Stegostoma tigrinum: one gene and its partner. The protein of the gene in region 1 purifies or fractionates together with the protein of each later gene. This does not show direct contact. Links are inferred from orthologs where the notes say so. Each region holds a gene or a part of one and is shown on either strand. Other genes may lie near its edges.

Evidence for each region.
Region 2: the proteins of dual specificity testis-specific protein kinase 1-like (region 1) and rabepk purify together in Homo sapiens (affinity purification with mass spectrometry; 3 studies listed by BioGRID and IntAct, with this or other methods). This does not show direct contact. The link is inferred for Stegostoma tigrinum from reciprocal best matches to the Homo sapiens genes TESK1 and RABEPK.

The regions. Positions count from the first base shown.
Region 1 is NC_081356.1:132,182,891-132,190,585, reverse strand, and holds the start of dual specificity testis-specific protein kinase 1-like, read right to left. Parts: upstream 3,331-7,695; 5' UTR 1,960-3,330; coding exon 1,741-1,959; intron 1-1,740. UniProt on the Homo sapiens protein: Dual specificity protein kinase activity catalyzing autophosphorylation and phosphorylation of exogenous substrates on both serine/threonine and tyrosine residues.
Region 2 is NC_081382.1:26,603,070-26,610,681, reverse strand, and holds the start of rabepk (rab9 effector protein with kelch motifs), read right to left. Parts: upstream 3,408-7,612; 5' UTR 3,158-3,407; intron 1,363-3,157; exon of another isoform or gene 1,352-1,362; 5' UTR 1,337-1,351; coding exon 1,284-1,336; intron 1-1,283. Other genes in the region: ppp6c (serine/threonine-protein phosphatase 6 catalytic subunit), read left to right, coding at 3,464-3,538. UniProt on the Homo sapiens protein: Rab9 effector required for endosome to trans-Golgi network (TGN) transport.

The sequences.
Region 1 (7,695 bases):
CAGATTGTGAATTCAGCCAATTCATGAGAGCATTCATGGAACTTTATTGGCAGGCACCAAACTGTCCACGTTCAGCTGGCGCAGAGAAATGATGATGTCAATAATTAGTTTTGGAATGCTTGCCACCTAATGGCTAAGGTTTGCAATTACACTGTGACAGGTGAGGAAAGGAAACGGAGTGGGAAATGTTGACATAGCAATTTGTAAAGGTAGGATTGACAGAAGTCATGACAACAAGAGTTTGGATTTGTGAACAGCTAGTGCAGTAGAATATTTCTGAACACATAAATGATGTTTCTCTGTTGTGAAGAGCTCACAGACAACACCCGTGTTCAGCAGTACCAACTGTTTCTTTGTTGACTGTTACAAAAGAAAACAAAGATTGTTTATCAAAGAACAGATTTTTAAAAAAAATGTCATCTCTTCATATCAGAGGCATTCAATTTATAGGGTTGCCTTTTAGAAACATTCGTGAGGAATGGAAAAACATTTCTTTTATTCTTTCCTGGGATGTATTTAGCAATTCTGAAGAATCCATAATGGGCTCAAAAAGTTAACTCTGTTTTTCTCACCATAAATACTGCCAGAGCTGCTGAATTACTCCAGTAATTTCTGTTTTTATTTCAGATCTCCAGAATCAACAGTATTTTGCTTTCCCATTAGGCTTTTGTCAACATTGGTGTTGTGTCTGACCCGTTTATGAGCTTTTGACCTCACATCCATGAAATCACCCAGGGTCTATTTTCACTTCTGCAGCTTAGCCGATTTGCTGCTGAAACTGTTATCCACACCTTTAACACACTGGACTCAATGATTTCAAAAGGCTGCTGCCTAACTGTCTACCTACCATAAACTTGGAGTCATCCAAGTCCTGATGCCCAAATTGCATCATTTCTGTTCCCCTGTCACCCAGCAATTTACACTGGCTCCCACCGAAATAGCAACTTGACTTAAAATTCTCATCCTTGATTTCAAATCCCTGTATGGCTTCACCCCTTGTTATCTCTGTTACACCCTCTTCCTGTACAACCTTTAGAAATGTCTGCCTTCACCCAATTCTGGTCTCTTCAGCATCCCTGGTTTTAATCATGTTACTGTTGACAATTGATTTTTCAGCTTCTTGGGCCCGGAGCTCCAGAATTCCCTCTCTACCTCACTTTCTTCCTCTATAATGCTCCTTAATACCTACACTTTGTGACCTAGCTTTTGGTCATCTAACCTAATGTGGCTAGATAGCATGTTTTGTTACATAATTTTCTCATGAAACACATTAATATCAAGACTCTAACTTGATAGAATACCCAATGTAAGTCATTCTTATTGTTATGATCACTAATCCTTTTGAAAGGTACACATCAACCAATAAAGCTTTTAACTAATCATTTAATCTTCTAGATAATGAACTATGTTTCCAATTATAGTCTCAACTGCAGATTTCAGCACATTTCCAAACCAGAGATACAGTAGCAGATGCCAGCTTGTGTAATAGTGACTAATCAGGTAAACATAGACCCTCACATACAAACAAATAGTATGATCATTAGGTATATGCAGACAGATCCTCGAGTACAGTCAGAGCAGGCACAGACACACTGTTCAGGTACAGTCTGACCCCTCATGTACACAATATCCCCAGCAGCAGTTATTGTCTCAGGTATTTGGTAGTGCCTCTCTCTCTCTCAACCAAATTATCAATCAACAAGTTCACAGGTAACATGCGCAACATTCACAGCCACCTACCTTGAACACCTCAGAGAAGAATCCCGACCCAATTTTCTCACAGTGAAAATCATCGATCCTGGTCAAGGTGGAGACAGCGCTACGCAGTGCTCTGTACGAAGAGGGGCGGAGATGGCTGCAACCAGGTATCGCACCCAGCACTGGAGCAGAATATGGGCCAGGGTCAGGTATCAATACATCACTGGACAGGTCCAATCTGAGTGCTGATTCTTTCGACATCTCCCCTCACATCCCCCACCCCCCCCAACTCCTGAAATCTTTTTCACATTTTTCCCAAATCAAGAAACTCTTAATGACAGGATGGTGGGAAAGGAAGAGAAGGGAAGGGAAGATTTCCAGGATTTATGGGCAGGTCTTCAAACCACCAGAGTCAAAGATGGGTCCACTGCAGGCTATTTAAAATTAATCAGAATTGATCAGCTCTAATTGATAATACAGCACTGGCTCAGATTGGCAACAGAGCAGATATCAATCATTCAGTGCCAATCAATTAGCAAGATGACAAGTACCCTCTGATTTATAGTCAGTGATCTGATTTCAATCAAGTGATAATCCAGTAACAATAGGGTGATAATCCAGTTTTGTTAATCCAGAAAGCGACAATTAACTGGTGATCCATCAGGCAATAATTAAATCCTGATCTATTGGTAGCCTGGCTCCAATGAATGGATAATCCAACAATGACAGGTTGATACAGTGACAATTCATCAGTCAATAATCAGGGTCCAATTTATTGATAATCAGCCAATTCATCAATATACGACCAAATGTCAGGATCTCTGCAACCCTTTCAGCAGTAAAGTGCCTGAAACGTACTCCTCCCGGGAGGAATCCCAAGTAAAACACTAACCTGAAAGCAGGGCTCAATTTGGACAATGTGAAACTGTAACTACAGCGACAACCCTGAGATGGAATCTGTGTGCCTGCTCTACCAAAGGCAATCCTGAACAAACTTTATCCTGACCCCAGTCCTCCCCAAACCCTGCTCCAAGTTTGCTCTGGGTTCCCCTCTCATTCAGCTCCAGGTAAACTGTCAGTTTTCTTTCGGATGCTGCTCCTGGTCTAACCCTAGTCTTCCCCTCACCTTGCTTTTGGTTTGAGCCTGATTTAATCTTGCTGCAGGTCTTGGTTCTCCTCTGATATCTCTCCTATTCTGACCCCGGTCTAAACATCCTCCTGGTCTGATCCTGACTTCCTGCGTTGATTGTACTCCAAATCCGTTCCTGGTTTCCCTTCCAATCTTGCTCCAGGTCTGAACCTGCTGCTGGTTTGATGCTGGTCTCTCTCTCTCTCTCTCTCTCTCTAATCCCACTGTCGATTTGATCCTGGTTTGCTCCCTGATCCAGCTCCGATCCCGGTTCCCGTCGACAATGACGATTTTAGCGCCGCCGTTCCTGCTCCGCTTCTTTTTGTTTTTGTTTGGCTCCGTTTATTGCAGCAGCGAGCTCGGGTTGGATCGTGCTCCGGGCGTGATCGATGGGGTGTGTGTGTGTGTGTGTTATTCCGGAACGCTGTCTCTCCCACACACTGTGTGTGTGTGTGTATGCTGCTGACACTCCGTGTTCCCATATGTGGTAGGCACGGTAGAAGGCGGCGCTGTTGAAATGCCCCCCCCACCCCACTGAAGCCTTCCTTCATTCTCCACCCTGTCACTGAAGGATAGAGGGACCAGGCGCCGCCTGTGGGCTGTATAAATTCACTGTCAATTCGCTACGTCCAGAAAATACAGGTTGCCGGTCAGTCTGAGTGGAAAAAGAAAACAAATGACCTAAAATGTCACCTTTAGTTCTCTCAGGACAGTGACTTCAAAGGAATTAAGGGATTTAAATATGTTAATCAATTAAAACCTCCGAACTGATTAAAGATTTGACACATCTTAGGTTTGTTTGCTACATCCTCATCAATGGTGTGAACCTTTGATTTTTTTATTTATAAATTCTGTGTCCGATACTTCCTCTCGCACTAACACTGAGGCTCCAAAAGCTTGTGTTTTCAAATAAACCTGTTGGACTAGAACCTGGTGTGGTGTGATTGCTGACCTAGTCCAATACTGGCACCTGCACATCATCCATAACCTTCAATCAACATCACTCAAACAGCTTCATCAGGTCACCGGTTTCAAAACATTAACTCAGCCTCTAACTTTCCTCAGATGCTGTCCAGAACTGTTGACTTTCTCCAGTATTCTTTCTTTCTGTTTATCAGAACACAGTCACGTTGCTAGCTAAGGAGATCTTGCTGTATGCAAATTGGCTGCTAGGTTTTTTTTCCTGCAACACAACTGTTCAGAAGGAACAATCCTACTGTTTTTCAGAGCTGTTCCACCTTGGATCAAGAACCCAAAGAGCACAGACTTAAGTGATTTATGAAAGAAGTAAGAATGACGTGAGGCGGAAAAATGTTAACACAGGATGTTTAGGGACTGGAAGCATTGACTGAAAATATGGTAGGGGTTCGTGGAGTGTGGCATTCAGGAGGGAAAAGGATGGTTATTTTAATAGATACAATATATAAGGGTATGGGGAAAAGGCAGGAGATTGGCACTAAATCATAATGCTTATCTGGAGACCCTGTGCAGACACAATTAACCAAATGGCCTTCTTTTGTGCTGTAAGATTTTTATGATTCAGTGAATTCCACCATGGCCTCTTCCCCATCCCACCTCACTGATCTGCCCCAGTTCCACAGTACTCCAGATCTCCACGTTCTTCCAATTCTGGCCACTGAGCATTTCCTGATTTCAGTCACATTAAACGGGCAGCCATGCGGGCTTCAAGCTCTGGAACTCCTTTCTCAAACCTCTCTAGCTCTCTCTTCCTTAAGGTTTAAACCTCCCTTTCCCGCTACACTTTTGATGATGGTGCAACGCCTGCTTTTGTAAATCAATGTCAAATTTTGTCTGACATCAGTCCTCTAAAATACTTTTGGGAGATTTTGCAATGCAAATGATGCTCTATAAAAGTGCATGCTACGTTAATGTGCTCATCTAGACAAGTCTTGACTAGTATGCTGTCACACTCCTGACTTGTGCCTTGACGATGGTGAATAGACTTTGGAGATTGAGGAGGTGAGTTACTCGCTGCAGGATTCCTAGCCTATGACCTGCTGTTTTAGCCATCTTACTTACATGGTTAAGTTTCTTGCCAGTAGCCCCAGGATCAAGAATTCTTTAGTATCTAACATTCTTCCAGTACAGTAAAAGAAATAACTTGTATTTATATACAGGATCAGCTTCCATGAGTACAGAACATTATAAACCCCTCACATCTGAATATAAAACTCAAATTTCTCTCAAACTGTTCAACACCTTATGACATCCTAGAGTGTTTTACAGCCATTAAGTACTTTTCACCCCTTCATTACTGATGTAAGATTGCAAAAACAGTGGGCACTTTGCTGACAATAATCACACAAACAAATTGATATATTTGTCTCTGATGAAGGGTCTAGGCCCAAAACGTCAGCTTTTGTGCTCCTAAGATGCTGCTTGGCCTGCTGTGTTCATCCAGCTTCACACTTTGTTATCTTGGATTCTCCAGTATCTGCAGTTCCCATTATCACTGATATATTTGTCACAGCTTTCACAACCTCAGGAATCCCAAATCACTTTACGAAGAAATAACTTTGGAGGTGTAATGTTGTAGGAGGGTCTTGTGGCACAGTAGGTAGCTTCTCCACTTCAGCCAAAACTGGCTCAAGTCCATACTCCACAAGTAGTGGCCACAGAATGTATGGTCAAACAGGTTGAGTACTGACTTGGAAATTCATCCAACACACCAATGTCAGGTAGTCCATCCTCTGAATTACCATATACTTAGATTCATTGGGGGTCGTGGGTTCAATGGCCAGTTCAGATGGGAGCCAACAGCATGGGGTTCAATACATTTCCCCCTGTTCCATCTGGAAATGATCCTTGTGGCACAGGTTGAGGTTCTGTAGTTTGGACAGCCTCCAAGCAGAGAAAAAGATAAAGTCACTGTTGTAATGTAGAAAACAAAGCAGCGAGATTAGATACAAATGTCAATGTGATTCAGTGAAATGGATTGAAGAATAAATATTGGTCAGGTCATCAGAAAGAACTCTCCTCCTCATTATCAAAAGATTGTCGTAGGACTTTTTTGTTCACTTGTAGTACATAGGCATCTCCAGCTGAGTCTGCTTTAATGCCTAGTTGCCCTTGAGAATTTGGTGGGGAGCACCTTCTTGAACTGCTGCAGTCCACGTGCTGTAGGTTGACCTACAATGCCCTTAGGGACGGAATTCATGATTTTGACCCAGCAACAGTGTAGGAACAGTGATACATTGTCAAGTCAGGATGAGTGAGTGCATTGCAGGGGAACTCGCAAGTGGTGTTCCTATGTACCTGCTGTCCCTGTCTTTCTAGATAGAAGTGGTTGAGGGTTTAGAAGGTGCTATTCAAGGATTTTTGGTAAATTTTTGCCACATGGGGGACAGTCGCTGATGGCCGGGATCTCTGGAGGATGACTAGAAGGTCATTGGAAGTGGTGAGAGAAAACAAAAAACTCAGCTGCTGAGAACAGGGGCTCAGAGAAACTGAAGCCAGAGCATCCTGCACCTTCTCAGCTCAGTGTCTTCCTCTACAGTAACTGAAGCAGAGACTGCTCTGTCAGAGTGTGGCTCCTGGCCACACCAGACAACATATAACAGAGTTTACCACTACAGTGCAAGTGATGATCTTTTGTGAAAGATGGTATCCAAATGAGGAAATATGGAACAAATGTCAGCAGATGAAGCTGAAATTACAAGTCAGTTATAAGTTTTGGAACAGGCATCTCTTCCAATATTTATTGCAGCTGGTTTGAATGGAATAAAATGGTGAGTGATTTGTGGATGGACAATAAATGCTGGCTTGTGGGGGGTGGGGTGAGCTCCATGGCACAGTAATAGTGTCCCTACCTCTGAGCCAAAAGGCCTGGGTTCAAGTCTCACCTGCTCCAGAGATGTAAAGTAACATTGCTGAACAGGTTGGTTGGAAAATGTAATAAACACTGACTTGGCCAAAAACACATTAAAACAGACAAACCTGTTATGCACAATCTCTCAAAATCAAGATCCACGCTTGGAAATTCTCCTGCTGCTTTCTGCATTGTGTCTTGGGATCTATTAAATCCATCTGAACAGGCAGACAGGGCCTTAGTTAACTGTCTGATCCAAACAACAGCATTCACTCATGTGATGCACTGAGTTGTCTTCCTTGATTGATTGTTGGAATAAGGCTTAAAACCATAATCAACCATCTGACACTTAGATACTCATACGACAACACAGTCAAAATGGTACCCAGTGGGCTTGAAACAAACAAGTCCCTTGACAGAGACATGGGATGGGTATATTCAGTTCTAATAGCTACCAGGAATGACAGTTAGAGAGGCAGTGTGCGGTTTGCAAAACAAATTGACATTTTCAAAACAAGGTGACAGAACAGATCCACGCCGTATGCTGCACACCCTAGCAGCATCTGTGGAGACAGAATCAAAGTTAACATGTCAGGTTAAAAGCTTATTGTCAGAACAGTTCTGTAACTCTGGCTGGAATTTTCTCTGTCCCATGGAGGCAAAGCAAATTTAGAATGAAGCATGGTGTGTCAACTTCCTGAAAACTCAGCAAAGGCCAGTATTCTGTCAGCAAGTCACGTTTATTTACACGTGAATAGTACTTGAAACTGGTCCAGGTAGCACAGACCCATCTCCTAGAGTGAACAGAATCTCTGACATAACAAAGTGTGGAGCTAGATGAATACAGCAGGCCAAGCAGCATCTTAGGGGCACAAAAGCTCTGCTTGGCCTGATGTGTTCATCCAACCAGGAAACCTGTGTTCTGTGAAGTCCACCTGGCTAACTTCATTCCAATCACTACATCTGTCCCCCTGTATGTCCTGGGATGTAGGCCTGTTCTTTTTCTGTGGGTCATTTTTGCACCATGTCAGGTTGCTCC
Region 2 (7,612 bases), on another chromosome or scaffold:
AGGAAAACAATCCCAGCCTATGCAGTCTTTCTGTACAGCTCAGACCTCCAGCCCAAAAAGCATCCAGGTAAATTTCCACGCACCCTCTTCATACAGTTATATTCTTCCAATACTTTGGCAACTAGACCTGCCCTCAGTATTCTAATTGTGGCTTCAAAAGCATTTATCTAGTTCTAGCATAACTTCCTCGGTCTTTGAATAAAATCCTTGGCCTCTAATAAAAGCAAGTTATTTGATATGCCTTCTTAACTACCTTATTTACCCTACCTTGCCCTACAATGTTAAGGGATCTGAAGATATGCACCAAGGTTCCTCTGATCTTCACTACTTTTCGGAGTCCAACTATTTATAAAATCCCTTGCCTTGAAATCCCTCTCCAAGTGCATTAGCTTTACAAGGTTAAAATCCAACCTATATTGCCCCGCCAACTGATTGGTCCTTTGAAAACTCCATGCAGTTATGCCACTCTTTCCCACCATACCAACTTCGGCACTATGTATGAAATTCTTGATCATACCCCTACATTTAAGTCCAAATTATAACTTACATCACAAACAGCAACAGTTCCAACAATAAGCCATGCAGAACTCCTGTGTAAACAGGTTTTCTGCTATAATTTCCGTAAATATTTCTGCACATTCCCTAGTGTCTTTTTTAAGTGACATGGCAAGCAGTCCTGTACAGATTTACACATCGTCTTTCCACAACTTGTTATTCATGTATAGTTGTAACATCAAAAGAAAGGAACACAATCGCCTAGTGGTGCTATCACTCAACTGTTAATCCAGAGAGCCAGGTAATTTTCTAGGTATACCGGTTTGACTGCCACCATGGCAGTTATGGAGTAGAGCTGGATGAACACTGCAGGCCAACCAGCATCATAGGAACTTTCCTGCTCCTATGAGGCTGCTTGGCCTGCTGTGTTCATCCAGCTCTACATCTTGTTATTACAGATTCTCCAGCATCTGCAATTCCTACTACCTCATGGCAGTCATGGAATTTGAATCCAATAGAAGTCTGGAAATAGGAGTCTAATGATGATCATGAAGTGGCTCAATTGTTGAAAAAAAAATCTCATCTGGTTCACTGCCATCCTTAGCTGGTCTGGCCTACATGTGGTACAGACCTACTACAACAGGAATGGGAAATAAATGATGACCATGTGAATAAATAAAACAAAAGAAAAAATAGGGACATTATCTCTGTGTTAAGGTATCACTTTACAGTTACAATTCCTGTCAATATAGTGTCGGGTTAAATATACACATGCTTTGACAGCCTACCATGTTGCTATTTGGGGTGTTTCCCCTGGCTCCAAGACAGTCAGCAATTCCATAGCCTTTCGAAAAATCTGGAATAAAACTGTCAGACATTGAAGATTTAAACTTTTATGTTATGTTAATGTATAAAAATTACTTGCATTTATTTAATTATAGTAAATGAAATCAACCCATAGCACAGCATATTATAGTCTCAATGCGACCATAAGGTAATTTACAACTTTTACAACATCTGAAGTCATATGGCAGCAGGTTATAGTCCAACAAGTTCATTGAAAATCATAAACTTTTGGAGCATTGCTCCTTCGCCAGATGAAGATTTCATCAGCCTTCACCTGATGAAGGAGCAGCACTCTGAAGGCTTGTGATTTTAAACAAACCTGTTGGCCTATACCTGGTATCATGTGACTTCAGGTTTTGTCCACCTCCACATCTTTATAAAATCTGACATTGGCATTACGACTTAGATTGGTGCATGTAAATATCGTAAACTACCTGTCAATGGCTGTCTGCAATTCTGAATCTGTTTTCTCATTCAAGCTTTCCTACCAATTTTTGAGGTGGAGATGAAAAATCAAAAATGCTAAAAGTCTTAGTCTGATATCCCTAGACTATGCATATTAGCAGTTGAGTGATAACTACTGTATTCTTCACTTCAGTTCCACAAAACACCATTCAAACTGTTGTGTTGTAGTGGATCTCAAAATTAACAATTTATCTCATGACATTCTCTTGCATTCTCCCTGTAATCCTGCACATTCTTCCTTTAGACGCCTTTATTAAACCTGCCTTCAATGTACATTCCATATCCTGACCACTCAATGGGATCAAAAACATTTTCCCCCGCATATCACCATTGATTCTTTTGCCAATTTCTCAAAGGCTGTGTCCTTTTGTTCTTCAACCTTTCACATAAATGGCCACTGTTTTTCCCTTCTCCATTCTGACCTGATCCTTCATGACTTTTGAAAGCATCTAACAAAGCTCCTCTCTGCCTTCCAGAAAAAACATAATGACAGCACTAATCTTTCTAAGCAATTGAAGTTCCTCATCCTGGAGATTATTCTCGTGAATCTTTTCCAGATTCTGTACAGTGCAATGCATACAGCTGGATGAAATGTAATTGCCAGTGCATTTTTAAGCAAGTTTAACAAAATCTGCTTGGTTCTTCCTTCCTAACTATAAAGCCTAAGAAACTGTGCACTTTAACAGCCACTCTTTCAAACTGTCCTACCTTCACTGCTTTATGCACACTCACATCTCTCTGCGCTGTGCATCCTTTAGAACTGTAATTTTTATTTCGTATTGTCTGGTTTTCTGCCCTTTATCTACCAATTCTATCATCATGTCCATGTTCTCTTGAAGGTCGACACTGTCTTCCTCAGAGATCACAATCAATGCCTCCAGGTTCTTATCATGCGCACAGATTGTGATTATGCCCCGATTTGCTAAGTCAGTATCATAACTGAACAATCACTGCTACTTTTTTTTGTCTTTTCGTCATCAGTTTGCACGCAGTCACGATTGATTTAATCTCGTGGGCTTTTTAAAATAAAACAATGAGGAGCAAATTAAATATTGGACACGTGCCCCGTTTTACAATCTTTTACAGCAGCCTCTTCATGTTCTTCTGATTTAAATGGAACATTCTGAGAATATTTGAACAAACGCCGATCTTCTCCAAACAGGGAAGTTTGATGTGAAATTTAGTGTCACTCCAGCGATTTAAAGGCCAGCACTGAAAGATGCCACTTTCCAATTCCCCTTCCCTCCAAATTCCATTTACTGATTTTCAGCACTTCGATGACTAACCGTTAGAGCATCTGTTACTCGCTATAATTACAGCAATATAAGCCTATGCCTCAAATGCTTCATACCTGTCGTTCTTCCCAATTTTTTTCTCGGGTGTTGCTAAAGGGAATCTACAACCCTTGAACTTTCAACTTTACCACCGAGCCGGCCAATGGAGAGGGCGGTGCGTAAAAACTGTGGGATTAAACAAAGAGTTTCGGTGTGTCCTGGGGAATGGGGTCAATCTTCAAACAATACAAAGTGGTCATTAACGATCGAACGCGTTTCGGGGTAAGGTGAAGGTTTGAAGCCGGTTTCTTTAGCCAGCGGCCGGCGCTTTAGATACCGGAAGCGCGTCATTGGCCTGGGGCTTGCTCAGTCCGTGTCTCAAAATGGCGCCTCTGGACCTGGATAAGTATGTGGAGATAGCTCGGCAGTGCAAATATCTTCCAGAAAATGACCTAAAGGTAACGTGTTACAGTTTCCGCTCTCCCCCACCCCCGAACTTTATTTTGTATGTTTTTTTGTGTCTGTCTATTGCTAAATCTATTTGACGCCTCAGTGTCGATTATGTTTGTAGCGACGCAATGGGACCTGTCAAGACTACAGCTTTAGGCTGTACCCTTACGTTTTTGGGGCCTTACCTCTTGTGTCCTAAGTTCTGTGGCATTTGTTTATATTTGGGTTTTGACATAAATTTAATGTGTGGCAGGTAGACTTCCTTAGCGCTATTATCTGTGGATCTTTACATTGACAGCGTAATGTCGCCGCAATCAAAACATCACAAGTGTTAACCCCACCACTCCCGGAGAATGGACCTCTAATAGGTGAGAAGCCTCCCCTGAATGCTGAACTGGGACGCTTGAAGTGAAACGTAGTTTGCTTCAACGAAGGATTGGATCATTTCGTAAAACAATTCACAAATTTTGTTCATTTGAGGAACTTGACTTGTTGCTGACTAATCACGGTTAATTCTGATCCAAAAGTAAGTTTTTGTTTCAATTAGGTTGAGGTAGAAGATTTCACTCCAGATTAAAACTATAGCTTCTTTTTGGGTTCAATGTTGACTGTACCAGGAGTGGAAACTTTCGGAGTTGAGTTGTGGAGAGGTTTAGTTATTAATGCTAAACTGTTATGCAGATTGTTCAAATGCTAATGAGTATTGACTTAAATGGTTCAAGTGAGAGAGTAATTAGTTGTGATGCTAGAGAGGCTAAAGATTGATAAAGAAATGTTACTTTCAACGAGATGCATCTGAGAATACTGAGAGAAACAAGCATTCAAATTGTGAAGGTACTGGCTATAACCTTTTAATGTACAGAAATGCTACCGGAAGACTGGGTGATTGCAAATCACACATCTGCTTAAAACAGGATGGAGTTTTTGATGAGATAATAGAGGCATTTAGTAACAGTAATAGGCTCCTGTAGTGTATTTGGAGGTGTTGGGGGTGTTTAGATACTGTTGAATATGCCAGAGCAGGTTGCAGTAGTGATTAAGTCTTACAAGATCCTGCTCAGTATTAATATGTGGATGGAGAAGAAAAACAGAAGCTCTTTATTTAAGATAAAATATTGATTCAGCTTCTACTGCACACTTTTGTTCCCATTTGGTGTGGCACGGTGACCCGCTGCTGCCTCAGCGCCAGAGACCTAGTTAAGTTCCAGCCTTGGGCGACTGTCTAATGTGGAGTTTACACATGTCTGCTTGGGGTTTCCTCTGGATGCTCTGCTTTCCTTCTCAGTAGAAAAATGTGCAGTTTAGGTGGAATGGCTATGCTGGTTCATCTTCTTGTCTCAGTTTAGATAAATGCTGCCTGAACAGCCTGCATTAAGTCTATAACTCTAATAATCGCAAACTAGCATGTTGCCCTTTTTACCTGGACATCAGCTCAAGTAGGCCATTAAATATATTCCTCAGCCACAAATTGTAGATGATTAACATGCATGGACCGTTTTGGTGACATGTTTGAGAATGTGATTATAATGAATATTCCTTGATGTTAAATGTAGTATTGTTCAGTAGAAATTGCTGAATGAGCGGTAACGGCAATGTAATTTAATTGGGCCAATGATTTTTAGTCTGGTTAACATTCTTGTAATACAAATGCTGGATTCGGTGAGTGTCTTTACTCATCTTACTGAAGCGTAATTAGTTAAAATACTTAATGATCAAAGAAACACTCATACATTCAGTTTTTTTTTTAGTTTGCCATTTTCCCAGAAGATGCATCAAGTTTGAAATATATTATACTGTGCAAATACCATATGAAATTAAAGGCCAATTACACTTTGTTACTGTTCGTATTTATCATTCAGGAGTGATAAATTATTAGTTATGCCTTTAGTCAATTCTGGATTGCCACGTTCTTTTCCTCACTTTTTCTGCCTTCTATCTGTCACCTCTGATTATTCATGCTTCAGTCATTTATTCACTGTGTCCAAATATCTCATTCAAACCCCCAATTTCTCAAATCTATTTGCATAAATGTAATTCCTCATTTTAGAGCCGTTTAATACATTTTTCTTTCCCCAAAGTTTTCATGTTCTTTGTGAAATTAAACAGAGTACTCCCAGTCGAGATCAAGGTAGTGTTTTATGTAGGTTTAGCATAATTCCGTGAATTTTGTACTCTGTCTTTTACTTAAAGCCCAGGATTGCATCTCCTGCTTTGTTAACTTGCCCATTGGCCTCCAAATATCTATATACACATGTTCCTAGGTTTGTCTATTCTGGTAACACTTTATAAATTATACTATTAAGCTTTCGTTGTCTTTTGTTCGTTCTTCTAATACTGTTAGGTTCGTTTTTCGGAGACCCGCACAAACTTGATGCAATAGCAAGACACTGACCTGGCTACAAAAACACAATCCTTTATTATTAAACAAGAACAAGCTGTGGAGGATCGCTGTACTCAACCTGGCACAGAGTGCTGAGTTCCGTTAGCAATTCTCCCCGAACAGTGGACAGTCCCCGCTTTTTATACTCTATTTTGGCTGATACAAAAAACATTTACTACATTTGGAACATATAGCGAACAGAATACAGCATTGATTGTTCACGAAGTGACTGGTAACGATTTCAAGCCGCCAAAGTGTCTGGCTTGAACAGAGGTCACTGACCTGTCCACTTCAGTAGAAACAGAAGTTTCATACCTTTACAGAAGTTTCACCCTTTTACAGAATTACAAATCATACCTTTACAAACATTAGCCACCCAATCCTATTTTGGCTGGAAGTTTAGGACAGTTTCCACATACCCCTGTGTGAGAAGACAAGGAGCACAAAAATTAATGAGATGTTATCCCATTAACATCTCAATACTACCTCTCATTTCTCAGCATCTACTATGTCTTCTGTACCTATAGGTAGTGCCACAGGATCGACAGGGTATGGAAATGTATCATGTGCTCATATAGAAATTGATAAACATGAACATTTCTCTAAATAAGGCTTTGATCAGCTGCATTGAGGGTATTGTCCAGTTTTGGTCATATACAAGCATACTTCTGCATGTTTCACTGTGAACTGCTTTCCCGTTCATGCAGTGCAGAATCTACATCTTAATATTTGCTTCTCTTTTAACCCTTTATACCAGGCATTTATGTGGTGTATTAACTTATAAAATCACTACAATGTACAACAATCTGGTAAAGGATGCTTCATAATATTCACTTCAAGTGAAATAGTTAAAAATGAGCCTTGAATGTATTTAGATGTTTATGCTGGTGTCTTTAAGTTTCAGGTATGAACCACAGTTGTGTAATAGTACCTAAGCTTTGACTGAGGTTTTGTGAGCTATATTGTTGATTATTATCGCATATCACATCGCATATCACATCTGTTAAGATGCTACTGAGATTTGAATCAGGGTATTTACGATTATAGTATGTTATGTTCTGAAGAAGTCCCATTCTGTGGGGATGCTCTTTTCTTTGTATATAGCTAAGTATTTTCAGTGTTTTGATGTTAGATTTCCAGCATCTGCACTGTTCACTTTTTATCACACTGTGATTGTAATGTTTTTTAGCATGTGTATAAACGTTATGACACAAAAACAAACTTGAAACTGTGTGAAGGTATTGAAAATAGAAAAAGGATTTGGGTGGCATGGTGGTTCAGTGGCTAGCACTGCATCCTCTCAGCACCAGGGTCCCCGGTTTGATTCTGCCCTCGGGCAAATGTGGAGTTTTCATATTCACCCTTTTGTCAGTATGGGTTTACTCTGGTTTCCTCACACAGTTCCAACATGTGCAGGTTAGGTGGATTGGCTGTGGTAAATTTCCCAAAGTATCCAGAGATGTGCAGGCCAAGTGGGTTAGCCGTGGGGAATGCAGGGTTACAGGGAGAGGGTAGGATGGGATGGGTGGGATGCTCTTTCTTAAAAAAAAAAAGCAATCAACACAGTGGCTAAGTGGTTAGCACTGCTGCCTCGCAGCACCAGGGACATGGGTTCGATACCACCCTCGGGCGACTGTCTGTACAGAGGTTGCATGTTCTCCCCATGTCTGTGTGGGGTTCCGTTGGGTGCTCTGGTTTCCTA